4 linked regions of the Saccharomyces cerevisiae S288C genome follow. Changing the gene in region 1 together with any one later gene gives a genetic interaction. Each region holds a gene or a part of one and is shown on either strand. Other genes may lie near its edges. The genes, in order: REV1, SIC1, RAD5 and RAD54.

Region 1 (5,237 bases):
TATCTTAGTAATGAACTTCAAGAATATGCTTATTTTACCCAATTATAGCTTTAATCATCAATAGGATCTTAAAAATTATTCTAATATCCACCGAATTTTCGAAAAGTATACTAATTTAAACATTTGGTGTAAGCGTTTAGGTTGCTAACGTAGCAGCAAACGTTGGTATCAATCACCACTTATTGCGCTACATTTCAACAATGTTCTTGAGAAATGGGTGAATGTTGAGATAATTGTTGGGATTCCATTGTTGATAAAGGCTATAATATTAGGTATACAGAATATACTAGAAGTTCTCCTCGAGGGTCTAGGAATCCCCATAATGGAATCTATATTTCTATATACCAATATTACGATTATTCCTCATTCCGTTTTATATGTTTCATTATCCTATTACATTATCAATCCTTGCACTTCAGCTTCCTCTAACTTCGATGACAGCTTCTCATAACTTGTGTCATCATCTTAACACCGTATATGATAATATATTGATAGTATAACTATTAGTTGATAGACGATAGTGGATTTTTATTCCAACAGTTCTCTTCAACCATTCGTTTTTGGGACTGAGGAAAATGAATATAAAATTATAATACTTCATCTTGAACTTTGAGAAATCACAAATTGTATGGGCGTGTGGTCTAGTGGAATGATTCTCGCTTTGGGCGATCCCCCTGATCAAACAGGAGGAACAAAGCATGCGAGAGGCCCTGGGTTCAATTCCCAGCTCGCCCCTTTTTTTGCAACTTCGTTTTAGACAGTTACTTAATTTTGTTTCTTAGGCACAACAATATTTATAAAAGAAGAATGTAAGTATGACGACGAAAACGAAAAGACTAATAGTTTCATATAATACTAAACGATTTCAATTTTCGTTTTATATCCTTCCTATTCATAAATTTTATTTCGCTATGCCAATAATGAGTGGATGTATAGTTGATATCTGTTTCGATAATTTTAAAGTAGATAGTAAAATCTTACTGACATGAATAATCCGTCCAAAACTAGATTACTGTATACAAGCATATTTAAAAAAATAATGAAACTATGATCAAAAAACTGTGCTACTACAGCGGTGTTGTTATCCGATACAACCGGATATTTTTCTTTTAATGAGTCTAAACCGTGATAGCTTCAGGTTAATACAATCAAAAAAAGCTCAAATATTCTTTTAATGCCGCGTTCACAGATTCCAATTGAATACAACTAGGTAGTTCATTATATGAAGCCTTTGCTACTATTTTTCACTATAGTCTGCCTTCACCTTAATGCAGACATCCACATATTTTAATCACTTTAAAATAAAAAGGAAGATATATTAGAAGCTATGATCCAATCTGTAAGCCAGATTAAAATTCACGAACTCTTCTTTCATTTGAATTGAATGCTTTGAGTTGGGGTAGATTATCGCAAATTACTCATCACATTTATTGACTACGAACTTGCTGATGTCCTTTTTTTATTTATATTTTTCTTCAGTGAAGCGATTTTTTTTTTACACAGACCAAGACGGAAAAAAGTAGCTAAGGAAGAAAACAAAATCATGAAAAAAATGTGAAGTGATCATGCACATCGCATCAACTTAAACATTGGCTTAGAGATATATAGAGTTAGAGTTTACGGCAACCTTTAAGCACCAATACCTTTTGGCATAGTCTAAAGACCTGGTTCTTAATTTTAAACAAATTTAACTAAAGATTTCCCTATCAAAGAAGTAACGAGTTGACAGATTTTCTCAAAATAAATCGATACTGCATTTCTAGGCATATCCAGCGATGGGTGAACATGGTGGTCTTGTAGATTTATTGGACAGCGATTTGGAATACTCTATAAATAGGGAAACACCTGATAAAAACAATTGCCTTAGCCAGCAAAGTGTCAATGATTCACATTTAACAGCAAAGACCGGCGGCTTGAATGCAAGGTCTTTTCTATCTACGTTAAGCGATGATTCCTTAATTGAATATGTCAACCAACTCTCCCAAACTAATAAGAATAATTCTAATCCAACTGCAGGTACTTTAAGATTTACTACTAAAAATATTAGCTGTGATGAATTACATGCTGATCTTGGCGGTGGCGAAGATTCACCTATAGCTCGTAGCGTCATCGAGATCCAGGAAAGTGATAGCAATGGTGATGATGTTAAAAAAAATACTGTGTATACTAGGGAGGCTTATTTCCACGAGAAGGCGCACGGACAAACCCTGCAAGATCAAATATTAAAAGATCAATATAAAGATCAAATTTCTAGTCAAAGCAGTAAAATATTCAAAAATTGCGTCATCTATATAAATGGCTACACCAAACCTGGAAGACTGCAATTACACGAGATGATAGTTTTACATGGCGGAAAATTTTTACACTATTTGTCTTCAAAGAAAACGGTTACTCACATAGTGGCTTCCAATTTACCATTAAAGAAAAGGATTGAATTTGCAAATTACAAAGTAGTCAGTCCGGATTGGATAGTTGATAGCGTCAAAGAAGCAAGATTATTGCCCTGGCAAAATTACTCGTTAACATCTAAACTTGATGAACAGCAAAAAAAACTAGATAATTGTAAAACCGTAAATTCAATTCCATTGCCCTCAGAGACTAGCCTGCACAAAGGATCTAAATGTGTAGGGTCGGCATTGTTGCCAGTAGAACAGCAGTCACCAGTAAATCTCAATAATTTGGAGGCGAAAAGGATAGTCGCTTGTGATGATCCTGATTTCCTTACTTCCTATTTTGCTCATTCGAGATTACATCATCTCTCCGCATGGAAGGCCAATCTGAAAGATAAATTTCTGAATGAAAACATCCACAAGTACACCAAAATTACGGATAAGGATACCTACATTATCTTTCATATCGATTTTGACTGTTTTTTTGCAACTGTTGCGTATCTATGTAGAAGTTCTAGTTTCTCAGCATGTGATTTTAAACGGGATCCTATAGTGGTATGCCATGGTACTAAAAACTCCGATATAGCTAGTTGCAATTATGTAGCAAGGTCATATGGGATTAAAAATGGAATGTGGGTGTCTCAAGCTGAAAAGATGTTGCCAAATGGGATCAAACTAATATCATTACCATATACCTTTGAGCAATTTCAATTAAAATCGGAAGCCTTTTACAGTACTCTCAAAAGATTGAACATATTCAATTTGATTTTACCTATATCTATTGATGAAGCTGTTTGTGTGAGGATAATCCCTGATAATATTCATAACACTAATACCTTAAATGCAAGACTGTGCGAAGAAATACGCCAAGAAATTTTTCAAGGAACGAATGGTTGCACAGTGAGCATTGGATGTTCCGATTCTCTTGTGTTAGCAAGACTAGCTCTCAAAATGGCGAAACCAAATGGTTACAATATCACGTTTAAGAGTAACCTATCTGAAGAATTCTGGTCTAGTTTCAAACTAGATGATCTGCCTGGAGTTGGGCATTCTACTCTGTCAAGGTTAGAATCAACGTTTGATAGCCCACATTCTTTAAATGACTTGAGAAAAAGATATACTTTAGATGCTTTGAAGGCGAGCGTCGGCTCTAAGTTAGGTATGAAGATTCATCTCGCGTTACAAGGCCAAGATGATGAAGAAAGCTTGAAAATACTGTACGATCCCAAAGAAGTCTTACAAAGAAAATCATTATCAATTGATATCAATTGGGGAATCAGATTTAAAAATATCACTCAGGTAGACTTGTTCATAGAAAGAGGTTGTCAGTATCTTTTAGAAAAATTGAATGAAATAAACAAAACAACGTCACAAATCACATTAAAACTGATGAGAAGATGTAAAGACGCTCCAATTGAACCCCCAAAATATATGGGGATGGGAAGGTGCGACTCATTCAGTCGGAGCAGCAGATTAGGTATTCCAACAAACGAATTTGGAATTATTGCTACCGAAATGAAAAGTTTGTATCGAACTTTGGGCTGCCCTCCAATGGAATTAAGAGGTCTTGCTCTACAATTCAACAAATTGGTTGATGTGGGTCCGGATAACAATCAGCTGAAACTGAGGTTACCGTTTAAAACAATAGTGACGAACAGAGCTTTCGAAGCCTTACCGGAAGATGTAAAAAATGACATTAACAACGAGTTCGAGAAAAGAAATTATAAGAGAAAAGAATCCGGGTTGACTTCAAACTCATTGAGCTCTAAAAAAAAAGGATTTGCCATTTCCAGATTAGAAGTAAATGATTTGCCCAGTACTATGGAAGAACAGTTTATGAATGAACTACCAACCCAAATTCGAGCAGAAGTAAGGCACGACTTGAGAATTCAGAAAAAAATCCAACAGACAAAGTTAGGAAACCTACAAGAAAAGATAAAAAGGAGAGAAGAGAGCCTACAGAACGAGAAAAATCATTTCATGGGCCAAAATAGTATATTCCAGCCGATCAAATTCCAAAATCTGACACGGTTCAAAAAAATTTGTCAATTAGTGAAACAATGGGTTGCCGAAACTTTAGGTGATGGAGGGCCGCATGAAAAAGATGTTAAATTATTCGTGAAATATTTGATTAAACTTTGCGATTCTAATAGAGTCCATTTAGTTCTTCATTTATCAAACCTAATATCAAGGGAATTAAATCTCTGCGCCTTTTTAAATCAGGATCATTCAGGCTTCCAAACGTGGGAAAGAATTTTACTCAATGATATAATTCCACTTTTAAACAGAAATAAACATACTTACCAGACTGTGCGTAAACTTGACATGGACTTTGAAGTTTGAATTAAAAAAAAAAAAACATTTCAGCATACAGTAAACACGCAGTTTGCGAACATTACCTGTAATATCTGCATGATTATTACCAAAGAAAAAAAAAATAACTGACACAATGGACAATTAAATAAAATTAAGTAAAAAAAATAAGGACTTTAATTTTTACTAGAATTCTTGACCAACAGTAGAAATGCGTAAGGTATTGGAATGGCCGACTCCTCCTTTGAATCCTTGAATGGAAACAACAGTATCACCGTTGTCCACCATTCCGAAAGACCTCGCCATTTCAACACCAAACTTTAGGCGCCTATGAACATCCTCACCCCAGTCGTCTAGGCGTTTCGGTTCATACAGAAATGGGAAAACACCTCTATACAAATGCGCAATTCTTGCCGTTCTTGCGTGTCTTGTTACTAATATGATAGGGCAGCTTGGTCTATACTTCGACAGTAGCCTTGCCGTGTTCCCTGTAGTAGATAATACAACGATGGCCTTACCATCTTGCTCCAAGAT
Region 2 (3,251 bases), on another chromosome or scaffold:
CAAACCTCCCTTCTTCAAGTTTTACTTTGTCACCCAAAGTCCATTGTGAAAGTTCTTTTTGCTGATCTGTCACTTCTAGCAAATTTGGTAGCGAGTATCCTTTATTCCATTTCAATTCATCCTTCTGCGTCACTTTTCCGTGTACCATCCACACACACATATATAACCATATCAGTCCATTAATGAAATTCATCTTCTTTTGCTTAGTTCCAGCTTTTGTTCCTGTGATTTTCCCTAAAAGCTGAAGAGAGGAAGCTGTCTTTCTTGTAGTCATCCTCCCCTAACTCGCTTTGACGAAATACTACAATGAAATATGCTATTATTCTGAAGACAGAAAACCAGAATAAAAGAATACGGTAAGGAAAAGTTAAAAATCCTGTTAATGTTGTAATATAGAATATCCTGTATATATTATAATATGTAAAATGTTGATGTTAATGCCCCTTTGCAAATAAATGTAGAATAAGTAAGTAAATAAAATATAATCGTTCCAGAAACTTTTTTTTTTCATTTCTTCAATGCTCTTGATCCCTAGATTGAAACAATGCCTTTGGCTTGAATCTTCTCTTTTCTTCATCCGTTAACCTTCGTTTCTCTACCACCTCTCCCTTCTTATTGACATATGTTATTACGTCTTCTATATCTGGGTTTTCTCTCAACATTGCCCTTTTACGTTCATTTCTAATTTCCTGAGTGACCAGTTCATCTGATGCAAAGGGATTTTTACCCACCCGCACTGGATTGATGATGATGTCTTCCTCGTCTTCACTTTCTTGACTCCTGGCGTCATTTTTCGGAGAGTTGTTGTTCCAATTTTTTGCCAATTCAAATGTTATCACCTTGTCGCTGGGCGTACCAGGTACATCTTTAATAATCTTCTTTCTATGTGTCTGATCAAACTCATCTCTTTCAAGTGATAAATGTAACTGCCTGGCAGATGTAGGTCTGCTGGGGGGAAGAAGAACTTCTCCTTCTTCTTCTTCTTCTGCTGCATCTATATCCACATTTTGCTGCGTGGGAAACAATATCCTATTTACACGACCCAATGGTTCCTGCTCTTCCCTTACTGTTCCATTATCATGACTTTCAAATTGGAATAGTGTCCTCTTCACTGAAGATTTTGGAAACGGCGAGCGTTGAGGAGACGTAAGCCCATTAAATGGAGAGGTCATACCCATGTTCGAATTGGGAGGTGCTAATAATGGCGCATTTTTAAAAGACTTAGTTGTTGAGGGAGTGACAGGGACTAGGTTCTGTGAAGGCTTTTGGGGGGTCTTTTGACCTTGCATTAGGGCACTAGAACTAGTATTGCCACTAGGCTGCGCAAGGTACCTAGTCCCTCTGGACCTTGGTGGGGTGGAAGGAGTCATTTTCGTGTAATAGTCCCTGCTTCAAGGGTCAAAATTCCGTAGAGGTTTGGTTGATTGATTTACAAAGACAATACCTTATCCTTTGGATATGCCTTCTCTCTTTTTATAAATATCAAAAGTTGCGACGCGAACAACAAGCCAGCCATTGAAATTTTCAGTGTGCTGGCTATAATAGACAGGATCGACGCTGTCGATGGAGAAGGAAACACGGCAATAGTGCAGATATTATCGTGACTTAATCATATTGATTTGAGGGGGGAATGGTATGTTTGATCGCCGGAGGCATCTTTTCTCATTATTGCTAAAACAAGATGTAATACTAACAGGGTATTTTGCTACTACCATCAAATAGAACGCTCTTTACAACCATGCTGTGAAGCAAAAAAATCAACTACAACAAGAGTTGGCCAGGTTTGAAAAGAATTCTGTGACCGCCCCTATTTCTTTACAAGGGTCCATCTCTGCAACTCTGGTCTCACTGGAGAAAACAGTTAAGCAATATGCAGAACATTTAAACAGATATAAAGAAGATACTAATGCAGAGGAAATTGATCCTAAGTTCGCTAATCGACTAGCAACTTTAACACAGGATCTGCACGACTTTACTGCCAAGTTTAAGGATTTAAAACAATCCTACAACGAAAATAATTCCAGAACTCAGTTGTTTGGCTCAGGAGCATCGCATGTTATGGACTCCGATAACCCCTTTAGTACATCAGAGACCATCATGAATAAAAGGAACGTTGGTGGTGCGAGTGCAAATGGTAAAGAGGGCTCTAGCAACGGTGGGGGACTACCGTTGTACCAAGGGCTACAAAAGGAACAGTCTGTTTTCGAAAGGGGTAACGCTCAATTAGATTACATTCTAGAAATGGGCCAACAATCATTCGAAAATATAGTGGAACAAAACAAAATTTTATCCAAGGTACAAGATAGAATGTCAAATGGCCTAAGAACATTGGGTGTTTCGGAACAAACTATCACCTCTATCAATAAACGGGTGTTCAAAGATAAACTAGTCTTTTGGATCGCGTTAATTCTCTTGATCATAGGTATTTATTATGTGTTGAAATGGTTAAGATAGAAGTAACCGTGAGTTCTATATATAAATAAACATACCATATATACATGCATCATTATAAGGGTTGAAAAAACATCGCGAATCTCGCTACTTTCCTTCTATGCTCTTTCGTTTCTCAAACCCGCCAGTATAAGCAACTTTTATTACCATTGGTGACTACACGTTGCTCCTTTTTTAAGTGTAATTTACTGTTATAAATTGAGTCCAAATCTGTCGTGTCTTGTCCTGGTTTGAGAACTTCGGGAATGTTCATTGGCTTAGCGCATTTCATAGTTTTCTTTCCAATACCTAGTTGGCCATGGTCGTTATTACCCCATGCAATGACCTCGTTTTCTTGTTCAGTTTCAGTGAACACACAATGAGAGCCGCAACTCCAGTTGGTCAATTTCTTGTCATCCGACTTGATTTTTATGGGATCACATTGCGAGTTCTTGAAAGTGTTGTTGCCCAATTCACCAAAAAGTCCATTACCAAACGCGAAATAATGATGGTCTGACGTTGAGCCAGGCTTACGAATGGTCACAAACGATGTTTCATCATCACAATGAATATCCACACATTTCCAATTCGTCATCCCCGGGAAATGCGGTTTAAATGCATGCGTTACCGATCTTGGGAAAGAAACATATTCTAGATTGTACGAAATAGGTAGTGCCAATTGGCCGAACCTATTCCAGCCAAAGGCATAAATTTCACCAGTCTTATCTATTGCCAGTGTATGGTACGACCCGCAAGCTATCTTTTTAATTTCTCTTTTGCGGACAACGTCTTCTCCTTCATGCTTAAATTTGTTCAGCAGT
Region 3 (6,038 bases), on another chromosome or scaffold:
GTCATGTAGGGTGCGAGTCCATCTCATTCTTGCCCAATAAATTTTAGAAACACCCTCTTATGAAGGGCGGCAAAACATATTAAGTAAGTGTCGATTGTTAAACACTTCCCCTTTTTTTATGCATAGTAAAAGGTACAAAGAAAATAGCGTACCGTCCTTAAATCAATATAGAAATATAATGAAAAAATAAGTGCTTTGATAAGAATATCTTGAATACAAATTAAGAAGTGTATATTTATAGATATTTTCGTTTCAGCTTGTGTCTGTGTGTGGCCTTATATGTAATATATGAGATGGAAGGTGAACAAATTATGGAGTATGTTCAAGAGACACCGATCATTCCAAAAAGGATTATCCATTATTCGATTCCAAAACAAATGATCACAAAGCCCGCTCCCCATGTCGAGATGACGTTGGTAGCTAATACTTTTCGGGACATGGACTTGCCGCAGCATCCGGTTATCCATGATTGTTGGCAAAATAAAGAGTACTCAACTCAAAGATATTCAGGAAATGTGGCTCAACAGAGATTAAGTTTTGAGGAACATCCAAATGAAGAGTGTCAAAATTCTGTTGGGTTAATCAAGAGAGTGAGTACTTTCTTTAAAAAGAGGCCATTGTCTCGAAAGAATAGCATAAAGTCAATCGGTGACGTAAAATCGGAGGCACGTAACCGGGGAGAAGGCCTCCTGGGTGAAGTTGATAATCTTAACGAGCAGAATGTCCGAGAAAACCTGACTAGTGAACATGAAAAGAGTCCTGAAGGAGATTCCAAAAGGTATGGCCTGTTCTCCTTTGAAGAGACCCCCCCTATACAAGTGTTGGAGCAGGGCAATATCAATTCTGAGCTTTCTTCATTTAAAAACACTTCTTTGGCGGAAAACAAACGCTCTTCTGACAGCTTCGTTTCGTTAAAACCGGGTGAAGATGAACATAGCCCTTTAGAGATTAGTACGTGTGGTAATTTGACTGAAAGAGAGGATTTGCAATCTGGCGAAGAACGGTTTGACTCAGCAGCCCAAAATATAAAGGTAGCTTCGATGAAGGAAAAAAAAAAAATCTTCAAAGGGAACAAAACAGATTAATCACTGAGATTATACGCCTCGAAAACATACTAAATAAGCATAGGAAGGCTGAAGCTAAGAATAATATTAACAAACTTGAAAAGAAGTTGAGTGAAACAGATGGTTTTACATCTGTAAACACATCAGTTCCAGTAACTCCTATTATGCCGGTCTTAAATACGAGAACTTCTTATCCCAATATCGACTTTCATGGTACTAAGGTTTCTGATGTTCTAGATGCCTTTGAATTTGAAAAGCATGATGATCCCTTAAGGGATAAATGGAACACTTTACAGTTTTTGGAAAAGAGCTTTGAATCTAAATTTGAATCTGCATCAGAGTTAATCCAAGGAGGCGAGCTAGCTGCTATTAAAGAAAGAAATTTTCAATTAGCCAAACTAAATAATCTTTGCTTTCGGGTACGAGAGTCCATCAAAAGAAGACAAGACCTGGAGAAAAAGTTAAGAACTTTATCGCAGGACACTGACAACGAATTGCTTTTTCTGATGTTGGAAAATGAGAGAAGAAAGAAAAGTTCAGTGATAATAGAGTTTCTTTCTGAGATAATCAGAGAGAAATCCAAAAGATTAACTGCAGAAGAGCAAGGCTTTGTAAATCAAAATGAAGTAAAACCCCTCATTCTGGACCTTTCTGCACGGATAAATAGATTGAATTCTATTCTAGAAACAAAAAATACTTGTATTAGAAGATTAAGTAATCAATAAGTAGTTAAATTTTCATAAATTATTACTTTCTTACATGTTAGTTGGCGCGTCGTCTGGCTGAAAATTTTACGCGTCATAAACCCTTAACTTTTCCACACATTATTCCTTACTGCTAAGCGCATTGCTCACTTGAAAGTAAATTATCTACAAAGTTACATTATCAAAAGGCCTTAGAAACACACCTAAAGTCTTACAGTATCACAATATGAGTCATATTGAACAGGAAGAAAGGAAGAGGTTTTTTAACGATGACCTTGACACTTCAGAAACATCGTTAAACTTCAAATCTGAGAATAAAGAGTCGTTTTTATTTGCAAATAGTCATAATGATGATGATGATGATGTTGTTGTATCAGTGAGTGATACAACAGAAGGAGAGGGAGACCGATCTATTGTGCCAGTCAGGCGAGAAATAGAAGAAGAAGGCCAGAATCAGTTTATTACAGAGCTTTTAAGGATTATTCCAGAAATGCCAAAGGATCTTGTGATGGAACTTAATGAAAAATTCGGCAGTCAGGAGGAAGGGCTCTCTTTAGCATTATCACATTACTTTGATCACAATAGCGGGACGTCTATCAGCAAAATACCGTCTTCCCCGAATCAACTAAATACACTCTCAGATACCTCAAATTCAACCTTGTCCCCATCTTCATTCCATCCTAAAAGAAGAAGAATATACGGGTTCAGAAACCAAACACGATTAGAAGATAAAGTTACTTGGAAAAGATTTATAGGTGCTTTGCAAGTCACTGGTATGGCTACCAGACCCACCGTCAGGCCCTTGAAGTACGGCTCTCAGATGAAGCTAAAGAGATCAAGTGAAGAGATTTCTGCTACTAAAGTATATGACTCACGTGGTAGAAAGAAAGCGTCCATGGCTAGTTTGGTAAGAATTTTTGATATCCAATATGATAGAGAAATTGGCAGAGTTTCGGAAGACATTGCTCAAATACTATACCCTCTTTTAAGTTCACACGAAATAAGTTTTGAAGTTACATTGATTTTTTGTGATAATAAACGGTTGAGTATAGGTGATAGCTTTATTCTACAATTGGATTGCTTTTTAACATCTCTCATTTTTGAGGAACGTAATGATGGAGAATCCTTGATGAAAAGAAGACGTACAGAGGGAGGAAATAAAAGAGAGAAAGACAATGGAAATTTTGGAAGAACATTGACTGAAACTGATGAAGAGCTAGAAAGCCGCTCGAAAAGACTGGCTCTACTAAAGTTATTTGATAAATTGAGGCTAAAGCCTATTTTGGACGAGCAGAAGGCATTAGAAAAGCATAAAATAGAGCTTAATAGTGACCCCGAAATCATTGATTTAGATAACGACGAGATTTGCTCTAATCAAGTGACTGAAGTCCATAACAATCTCCGAGATACTCAGCACGAAGAAGAAACAATGAACTTGAATCAATTGAAAACATTTTATAAGGCCGCACAATCATCAGAATCTTTAAAAAGTTTGCCTGAAACAGAACCTTCTCGCGATGTCTTCAAGCTAGAACTAAGAAATTATCAAAAGCAAGGTCTTACTTGGATGCTAAGGAGGGAGCAAGAGTTTGCCAAAGCAGCCTCTGATGGTGAGGCTTCAGAAACGGGTGCTAATATGATAAACCCATTATGGAAGCAGTTCAAATGGCCAAATGATATGTCGTGGGCAGCTCAAAATTTGCAGCAGGACCATGTAAACGTTGAAGATGGCATATTCTTTTATGCGAACTTACATTCTGGTGAATTTTCGCTAGCAAAACCTATATTAAAAACTATGATAAAGGGTGGCATATTATCAGATGAAATGGGGTTGGGTAAAACAGTGGCAGCGTATTCTTTAGTTTTATCTTGTCCTCACGATAGTGATGTTGTTGACAAGAAACTGTTTGATATTGAGAACACAGCAGTCTCAGATAATCTTCCAAGCACTTGGCAAGATAATAAGAAACCATATGCTTCAAAAACAACGCTAATCGTGGTCCCAATGTCTTTGTTAACGCAGTGGAGTAACGAGTTTACAAAAGCTAATAATTCCCCCGATATGTATCATGAGGTGTATTATGGTGGGAATGTTTCCAGTTTGAAAACCCTATTAACCAAGACAAAAACCCCTCCAACTGTAGTCCTTACTACATATGGTATTGTTCAAAATGAATGGACTAAACATTCCAAGGGAAGGATGACAGATGAGGACGTCAATATATCTTCAGGCTTATTTTCTGTCAATTTTTATCGCATAATAATCGACGAGGGTCATAACATTAGAAACAGAACGACAGTTACATCTAAAGCAGTCATGGCTTTACAAGGCAAATGTAAATGGGTTTTAACAGGAACACCAATTATTAACAGGCTTGACGATTTATACAGTCTGGTTAAGTTTTTAGAGTTAGATCCCTGGCGGCAAATTAATTACTGGAAGACCTTTGTATCAACGCCTTTTGAGAGTAAAAATTACAAACAAGCATTTGATGTGGTGAATGCAATTCTGGAACCCGTATTGTTAAGAAGGACAAAACAAATGAAAGATAAAGATGGTAAGCCATTAGTAGAGTTGCCACCAAAGGAGGTCGTTATTAAAAGACTTCCCTTCAGTAAATCTCAAGATCTTCTATACAAGTTTCTGTTGGATAAGGCTGAAGTTTCTGTTAAATCGGGTATTGCACGCGGTGATTTATTGAAAAAGTACTCCACTATCCTTGTCCATATTTTAAGATTGAGGCAAGTCTGTTGCCATCCCGGTCTTATTGGGAGTCAAGATGAGAACGATGAGGATTTATCTAAAAATAATAAATTGGTTACGGAACAAACGGTGGAGCTTGACTCTTTAATGCGTGTTGTTTCCGAGAGATTCGATAACTCATTTTCTAAGGAGGAATTAGATGCAATGATACAAAGATTAAAAGTTAAATATCCAGACAATAAATCGTTTCAGTCCTTAGAGTGCTCCATCTGCACAACGGAACCTATGGATTTGGACAAGGCTTTATTTACAGAATGCGGCCACAGTTTTTGTGAGAAATGTTTATTTGAATATATTGAGTTTCAGAACAGTAAGAATTTGGGTTTAAAGTGCCCCAATTGCCGTAACCAAATAGACGCTTGTCGGTTGTTGGCATTGGTACAAACGAATAGCAACTCGAAAAATTTGGAATTCAAACCATATTCACCAGCCTCCAAATCAAGCAAAATCACTGCTTTATTGAAGGAGCTTCAATTGCTACAGGATAGTTCGGCAGGCGAACAAGTTGTCATTTTTTCCCAATTTTCTACATACTTGGATATCCTGGAGAAAGAGCTAACTCATACTTTCTCAAAAGATGTTGCAAAAATTTATAAATTCGATGGACGTCTCTCATTAAAAGAAAGAACTAGTGTATTAGCAGATTTTGCCGTTAAAGACTATAGCAGGCAAAAAATCCTATTACTCTCGCTGAAGGCTGGTGGCGTGGGTTTGAATCTAACGTGTGCTTCCCACGCTTATATGATGGACCCATGGTGGTCGCCCAGTATGGAAGATCAGGCAATCGATAGACTGCATAGAATTGGCCAGACAAACAGCGTCAAAGTTATGAGATTTATCATACAAGATAGCATAGAAGAAAAAATGCTACGCATTCAAGAAAAGAAGAGAACCATCGGTGAGGCCATGGACACAGACGAAGACGAGAGAAGAAAAAGGAGAATTGAAGAAATCCAGATGCTGTTTGAATAGTCATACCACATACTCATATATAAAGACTTTATTTATTATTATTTTCAACCCGAAAGAACTAATTATTCTTCAGCTACTTCATGCAACTTCTATTATCTTCCTTTTCCGTTACCCGTATTTTTAAGTTGCAATTATTAAAAAAACAATTAAGAAAATAAAACAGCGCCATAAGGCATGGACGATAGAAATACGAAGACGAAGAAAATCATCATCAGTCGGGATCAAATAAGAGATAATTTTGAAAATCGAAAGTTTTCATTATGACAGAAAGTGTAGGTGGAAATAAACTAGTAGATTTTTTGGTAAATGTTCAATCCATTTTGAATGCTGCCTCTGTGAAATGTCATGTAGTAGATGAAAGTTTTCCAGCCAAGTTCTTTGAGAAAAATCCGGATAAGATATATGAATCATATTGTAAATTCATTAAAAATAGAAGTAACTCTGAAGGTTTGATACGTAATGAAGATAAATTAGTTTTGACAACTATCAATAAGAGGTTTGAAAATGGAGAGTACGAACCCATACAAGGTGGGT
Region 4 (5,136 bases), on another chromosome or scaffold:
TCAGTCGGAAAAGCCCGCTTCCTCGTCCAAGTGGTCGACAAGAGTTCTGGATCGGTGATGCCCACATTTTGGGTGCCTTTACGCCGTATATCTTTTTCTAGCAGGGAAACATTGGGGAGCAATAGCGGTGGTAGCGATCGATCTCTATTTCTTACTGTAATGCTTGTGGACATCTTCTTTTGACATACGATGACCTCAATGATTTAGATTATGTGTTGCACTTTTATAGACCTACCAAAAATCCAGTGCGTACACTAATACTTTCATAAAGATACCTGAAACAATAACCAGAAAGATCGGCAAAAAAATTTTTTTTCTTTGCCGAGATCACAAACCTACTATGACGAAAAAGCTTGAAGTTTAGATGAGTAAGGAAAATACAAGTGACGCTTTTATATGGTGCAAGGAACAAAAACTAAAAACAACAAGGCAAATGTGGATCTGTCATGTATGGCAACGACAGCAGGATGGCTCACAAAAAAAGACAAAAAAAACTAAGGCAAAAGAACAAAGCTCCTCTCCTGCTCAAGAAACGTATTGTTGAAAAACCACCGTCGTAAGAAAGTTTTTCTGTGACCTATAATGGTTTAAAATCGGCCCATTTTTTTTCCCTCTTTTGTGGTCCAGTCTTTCTCATACTCGAGGGAAATTCGACACAAACAGCGGAGAAGTGTGGCTAAACCGGCAAGTGCCTGCAAGATCCACAGAACTAACCGCACGAACTGGCGGTCAGAAAAGAGCCTGTTCCGGAAAGAGAGAAACAGAGAAACGATCATGATGGGAAAGCGGGGATTCGGCGAAGAACGAGACTGGAAAGGGAAAAAGAGAAATACTGGTGGAAGTATTCGGACCTTTGGCGAAGTCCGAACCCTTGAAACCCAAAGATGATCGATGATTCATTTTTCAATGCGCTACGGTTCCTGCCGCTCGTGGGAACCCCACGCAAAACATATTATTCGCTTCTCTCTGCTGACAACTCCGGTTTACGTTATACCGTATTAGGATCACTATAAGGGTTCCTTCGGGAGGAGGGGGGAGGGGAAGAATGTACATCGTCATAAGGCCTTTATGGTGTGAAGTGGGTTTTGCGTGGAAAATTCGTTTTCAATGATATAGAGCCCACGCATATACGTACATACTAGTGGCCAAAAGCGTGGGGTGGGCGGACAAAGCTACACTGGTAAAATACAGGATTCTATGAACAATAACAACAACCAGCTCACGTTGCTGAACAGCCGAGGTCAGCCGATGCAACCGAGGTTTCCAAAGTAGCATTTCTGTGCTAGCTATGTCTGTAGGTTTACATTTAATGGTGCGTGGTTCCAGCTTCATGTGCTTGCATGTGATGTCCTGCAGATGGTAAGAAGATTCTGAAAGCCGCGCTAGGAGAAAAATATTCTGCTCGAAGATCTGTCCTCTTAAGTAGAAAGCGTGAAATTGTTGCGTTCTTGCATTACTACTCAACGCGTACGCAAATGCGTCTACTGCACCTGCATGATAAAGCTTATGTATCAAAAATTTAACATCTTGAAAATACACAAGTGGTGCAAAGATGTGTCACGTTCTGGACCTGAGTGGTGCCATGTATGCTATTTAACATGCAAAGGGGAAGACCCTTCCGCCTTACTGCAATAATAAAAAGTATTTTACGCGTTACCCAATATAGCAAAGTTTCGCGCAAAAAAAAAAATAAAAAACAATTACAAACAAAAAGAAAAAAAAGGAAATAATAGAAGATCTAACTGAAGCGAAGGCCAAAACTCTTCTCACTTGACGTAATAGCCGATACAAAATCTAGAGCAGCAACTTTTCTCTTTCTTCACTAAAGCTGCTACGAAAGTATAGAAAAATCAAACGCTCAGAACTTAGCTCTATTTCAAGGTACCATATATATTTCCTTATAACTGATGGCAAGACGCAGATTACCAGACAGACCACCAAATGGAATAGGAGCCGGTGAACGGCCGAGACTGGTACCTAGGCCTATTAACGTACAAGACTCGGTGAACCGACTAACGAAACCGTTCAGGGTCCCGTACAAGAACACGCACATCCCGCCCGCTGCTGGTAGAATCGCCACCGGGTCTGATAATATCGTAGGAGGAAGGAGCTTGAGGAAAAGATCAGCGACTGTATGTTATTCCGGCTTGGATATAAATGCGGACGAAGCAGAGTACAACAGCCAAGACATAAGTTTTTCTCAGTTGACTAAACGACGGAAGGATGCTCTTAGTGCTCAAAGGTTGGCCAAGGATCCGACAAGACTGAGTCATATCCAGTACACTTTGAGAAGATCTTTCACTGTGCCAATCAAGGGATATGTACAAAGACACAGTCTGCCATTAACGTTAGGAATGAAAAAAAAAATTACTCCAGAACCTCGACCTCTACATGACCCTACAGACGAATTTGCCATAGTGCTTTATGACCCGTCCGTTGACGGTGAAATGATTGTCCATGACACATCTATGGATAACAAGGAAGAAGAATCAAAGAAAATGATCAAAAGCACACAGGAAAAGGATAATATTAACAAGGAAAAGAATAGCCAGGAAGAAAGACCCACACAAAGAATAGGACGCCATCCAGCTTTGATGACAAATGGTGTGAGAAACAAACCGTTACGTGAGCTACTCGGTGATTCGGAAAACTCTGCGGAAAACAAGAAGAAATTTGCTAGTGTCCCTGTGGTTATTGATCCAAAACTGGCCAAGATTTTAAGACCCCATCAAGTCGAAGGGGTGAGATTCTTATACCGTTGTGTCACAGGGCTTGTCATGAAAGATTACTTAGAAGCTGAGGCGTTCAACACTTCAAGCGAAGATCCCTTAAAGAGCGACGAGAAGGCACTTACTGAATCTCAAAAGACTGAACAAAACAATAGAGGGGCCTACGGCTGCATCATGGCCGATGAAATGGGGCTGGGTAAGACATTGCAGTGTATAGCACTTATGTGGACATTATTAAGACAGGGCCCGCAGGGTAAAAGACTTATCGACAAATGTATCATTGTTTGTCCATCTTCTTTAGTCAACAACTGGGCTAATGAATTGATAAAATGGTTGGGTCCCAATACTCTAACTCCGTTAGCGGTTGATGGGAAAAAATCTTCAATGGGTGGTGGTAATACAACAGTTTCGCAAGCTATTCATGCCTGGGCTCAGGCACAGGGAAGAAATATTGTTAAGCCCGTTTTAATCATATCGTATGAAACATTACGTCGAAATGTTGATCAATTGAAAAACTGCAATGTGGGTTTAATGCTGGCAGATGAAGGGCACCGTTTGAAAAACGGTGACTCTTTAACATTCACAGCTTTGGATAGCATCAGTTGTCCTAGAAGAGTTATATTATCTGGTACACCCATTCAAAACGATCTTTCCGAATATTTTGCTCTACTGAGTTTTTCGAATCCTGGCTTATTAGGTTCCAGAGCAGAATTTAGGAAAAATTTTGAGAATCCAATTTTGCGAGGGCGTGATGCTGATGCTACTGATAAAGAAATCACAAAGGGCGAGGCGCAATTACAGAAGCTATCTACCATTGTCTCCAAATTTATTATCCGTCGTACTAACGATATTTTGGCCAAATATTTGCCTTGCAAGTATGAGCACGTTATTTTCGTAAACTTGAAGCCGTTGCAGAACGAGCTCTACAATAAATTAATTAAGTCAAGAGAAGTGAAAAAAGTAGTAAAAGGTGTTGGTGGGTCTCAGCCCCTGAGGGCTATTGGTATTTTAAAGAAGCTATGTAATCACCCTAATCTCTTGAATTTTGAAGATGAATTTGACGATGAAGATGATTTGGAACTACCTGACGATTATAATATGCCGGGTTCAAAAGCCAGGGACGTACAAACAAAATATTCAGCTAAATTTTCCATTTTGGAAAGATTTCTCCATAAGATAAAGACCGAATCCGATGATAAGATTGTTTTGATCTCCAACTATACCCAAACCTTGGACCTCATTGAAAAAATGTGTAGATATAAGCACTACAGTGCTGTACGGTTGGATGGTACAATGTCAATTAACAAAAGACAAAAATTGGTGGATAGGTTCAACGATCCTGAAGGCCAAGAGTTCATCTTCCTCTTAAGTTCTAAAGCAGGTGGGTGTGGTATCAATTTGATTGGTGCAAATCGATTAATTTTGATGGATCCGGATTGGAATCCTGCTGCTGATCAACAAGCTTTGGCACGTGTTTGGAGAGACGGTCAAAAAAAGGATTGTTTCATTTACAGATTCATATCGACTGGTACCATAGAGGAAAAAATCTTTCAAAGACAATCTATGAAAATGAGTTTGAGTTCATGCGTGGTCGATGCGAAAGAAGACGTTGAAAGGTTGTTTAGTTCTGACAATTTAAGACAGTTGTTTCAAAAAAATGAGAATACGATATGTGAAACACACGAAACATACCATTGTAAACGTTGTAATGCTCAGGGTAAACAATTAAAGAGAGCCCCTGCAATGTTATATGGTGATGCGACAACTTGGAATCATTTGAACCATGACGCATTGGAAAAAACAAATGATCATCTACTAAAAAACGAGCATCATTACAATGATATCAGTTTTGCATTTCAATATATTTCACATTGATCTCTTACATACATGTACTTATAAAACAAAAACAAAAAGTAGAATTCGATCGTCGGGGGGTCATTACATATTTATTTTAAATGATGGGCATGGTTATATATATTTAGACGTAATAAACAATTGAAAATTGGGGCCAAATTGGTAAATATCTCTATGTATTTCAATCAAAAAAGTATAATCGTATAACTTAAGGGTAAAAAAAGTTGAGCGATGTCATATTATACTTGTGCTAGCTTTTAAATTTTTCATTATCTTCAGTTTTATCGTGGTAAAGTGCCAGCCGAAACTGCCAAAAAAGATTATGGCAAGAAAATCTCACGCTGTCAGGGAAATAAAAATCTGATACAGTTTCACACTCTCAGAAGGATTAACTTTAACTATTACCTAACACCAATATCTGAAGAGAATGGATGAAATTCTTGCCAAAGCAGGTTCACAAGCCGTTACATTTGCTATAAAATCCGGAATATCGATAGCATCCACATATGCGCTAAAGACAATAACGAACTTTGTCGTCCAGATTCCTAAGGAT

The links.
Region 2: mutations in REV1 (region 1) and SIC1 together harm fitness more than expected from each alone (negative genetic interaction), as found in Saccharomyces cerevisiae (4 studies listed by BioGRID, with this or other methods).
Region 3: mutations in REV1 (region 1) and RAD5 impair growth when combined (synthetic growth defect), as found in Saccharomyces cerevisiae (5 studies listed by BioGRID, with this or other methods).
Region 4: mutations in REV1 (region 1) and RAD54 together harm fitness more than expected from each alone (negative genetic interaction), as found in Saccharomyces cerevisiae (6 studies listed by BioGRID, with this or other methods).

What each region holds. Positions count from the first base shown.
Region 1 is NC_001147.6:980,053-985,289, forward strand, and holds REV1 (deoxycytidyl transferase), read left to right. Parts: upstream 1-1,775; coding exon 1,776-4,733; downstream 4,734-5,237. Other genes in the region: pyruvate kinase PYK2, read right to left, coding at 4,890-5,237. UniProt on the Saccharomyces cerevisiae protein: Deoxycytidyl transferase involved in DNA repair. Transfers a dCMP residue from dCTP to the 3'-end of a DNA primer in a template-dependent reaction.
Region 2 is NC_001144.5:284,939-288,189, reverse strand, and holds SIC1 (cyclin-dependent protein serine/threonine kinase inhibiting protein SIC1), read right to left. Parts: upstream 1,371-3,251; coding exon 516-1,370; downstream 1-515. Other genes in the region: EMP46 (Emp46p), read right to left, coding at 1-274; BOS1 (Bos1p), read left to right, coding at 1,631-1,633, 1,723-2,454; FMP25 (Fmp25p), read right to left, coding at 2,567-3,251. UniProt on the Saccharomyces cerevisiae protein: Substrate and inhibitor of the cyclin-dependent protein kinase CDC28. Its activity could be important for faithful segregation of chromosomes to daughter cells. It acts in response to a signal from a post-start checkpoint.
Region 3 is NC_001144.5:202,997-209,034, forward strand, and holds RAD5 (DNA helicase RAD5), read left to right. Parts: upstream 1-1,994; coding exon 1,995-5,504; downstream 5,505-6,038. Other genes in the region: YLR030W (uncharacterized protein), read left to right, coding at 294-1,085; YLR031W (uncharacterized protein), read left to right, coding at 1,229-1,789; RSC58 (Rsc58p), read left to right, coding at 5,765-6,038. UniProt on the Saccharomyces cerevisiae protein: Probable helicase, member of the UBC2/RAD6 epistasis group. Functions with the DNA repair protein RAD18 in error-free postreplication DNA repair.
Region 4 is NC_001139.9:193,175-198,310, reverse strand, and holds RAD54 (DNA-dependent ATPase RAD54), read left to right. Parts: upstream 1-1,907; coding exon 1,908-4,604; downstream 4,605-5,136. Other genes in the region: SUT1 (Sut1p), read right to left, coding at 1-173; YRB30 (Yrb30p), read left to right, coding at 5,011-5,136. UniProt on the Saccharomyces cerevisiae protein: Plays an essential role in homologous recombination (HR) which is a major pathway for repairing DNA double-strand breaks (DSBs), single-stranded DNA (ssDNA) gaps, and stalled or collapsed replication forks.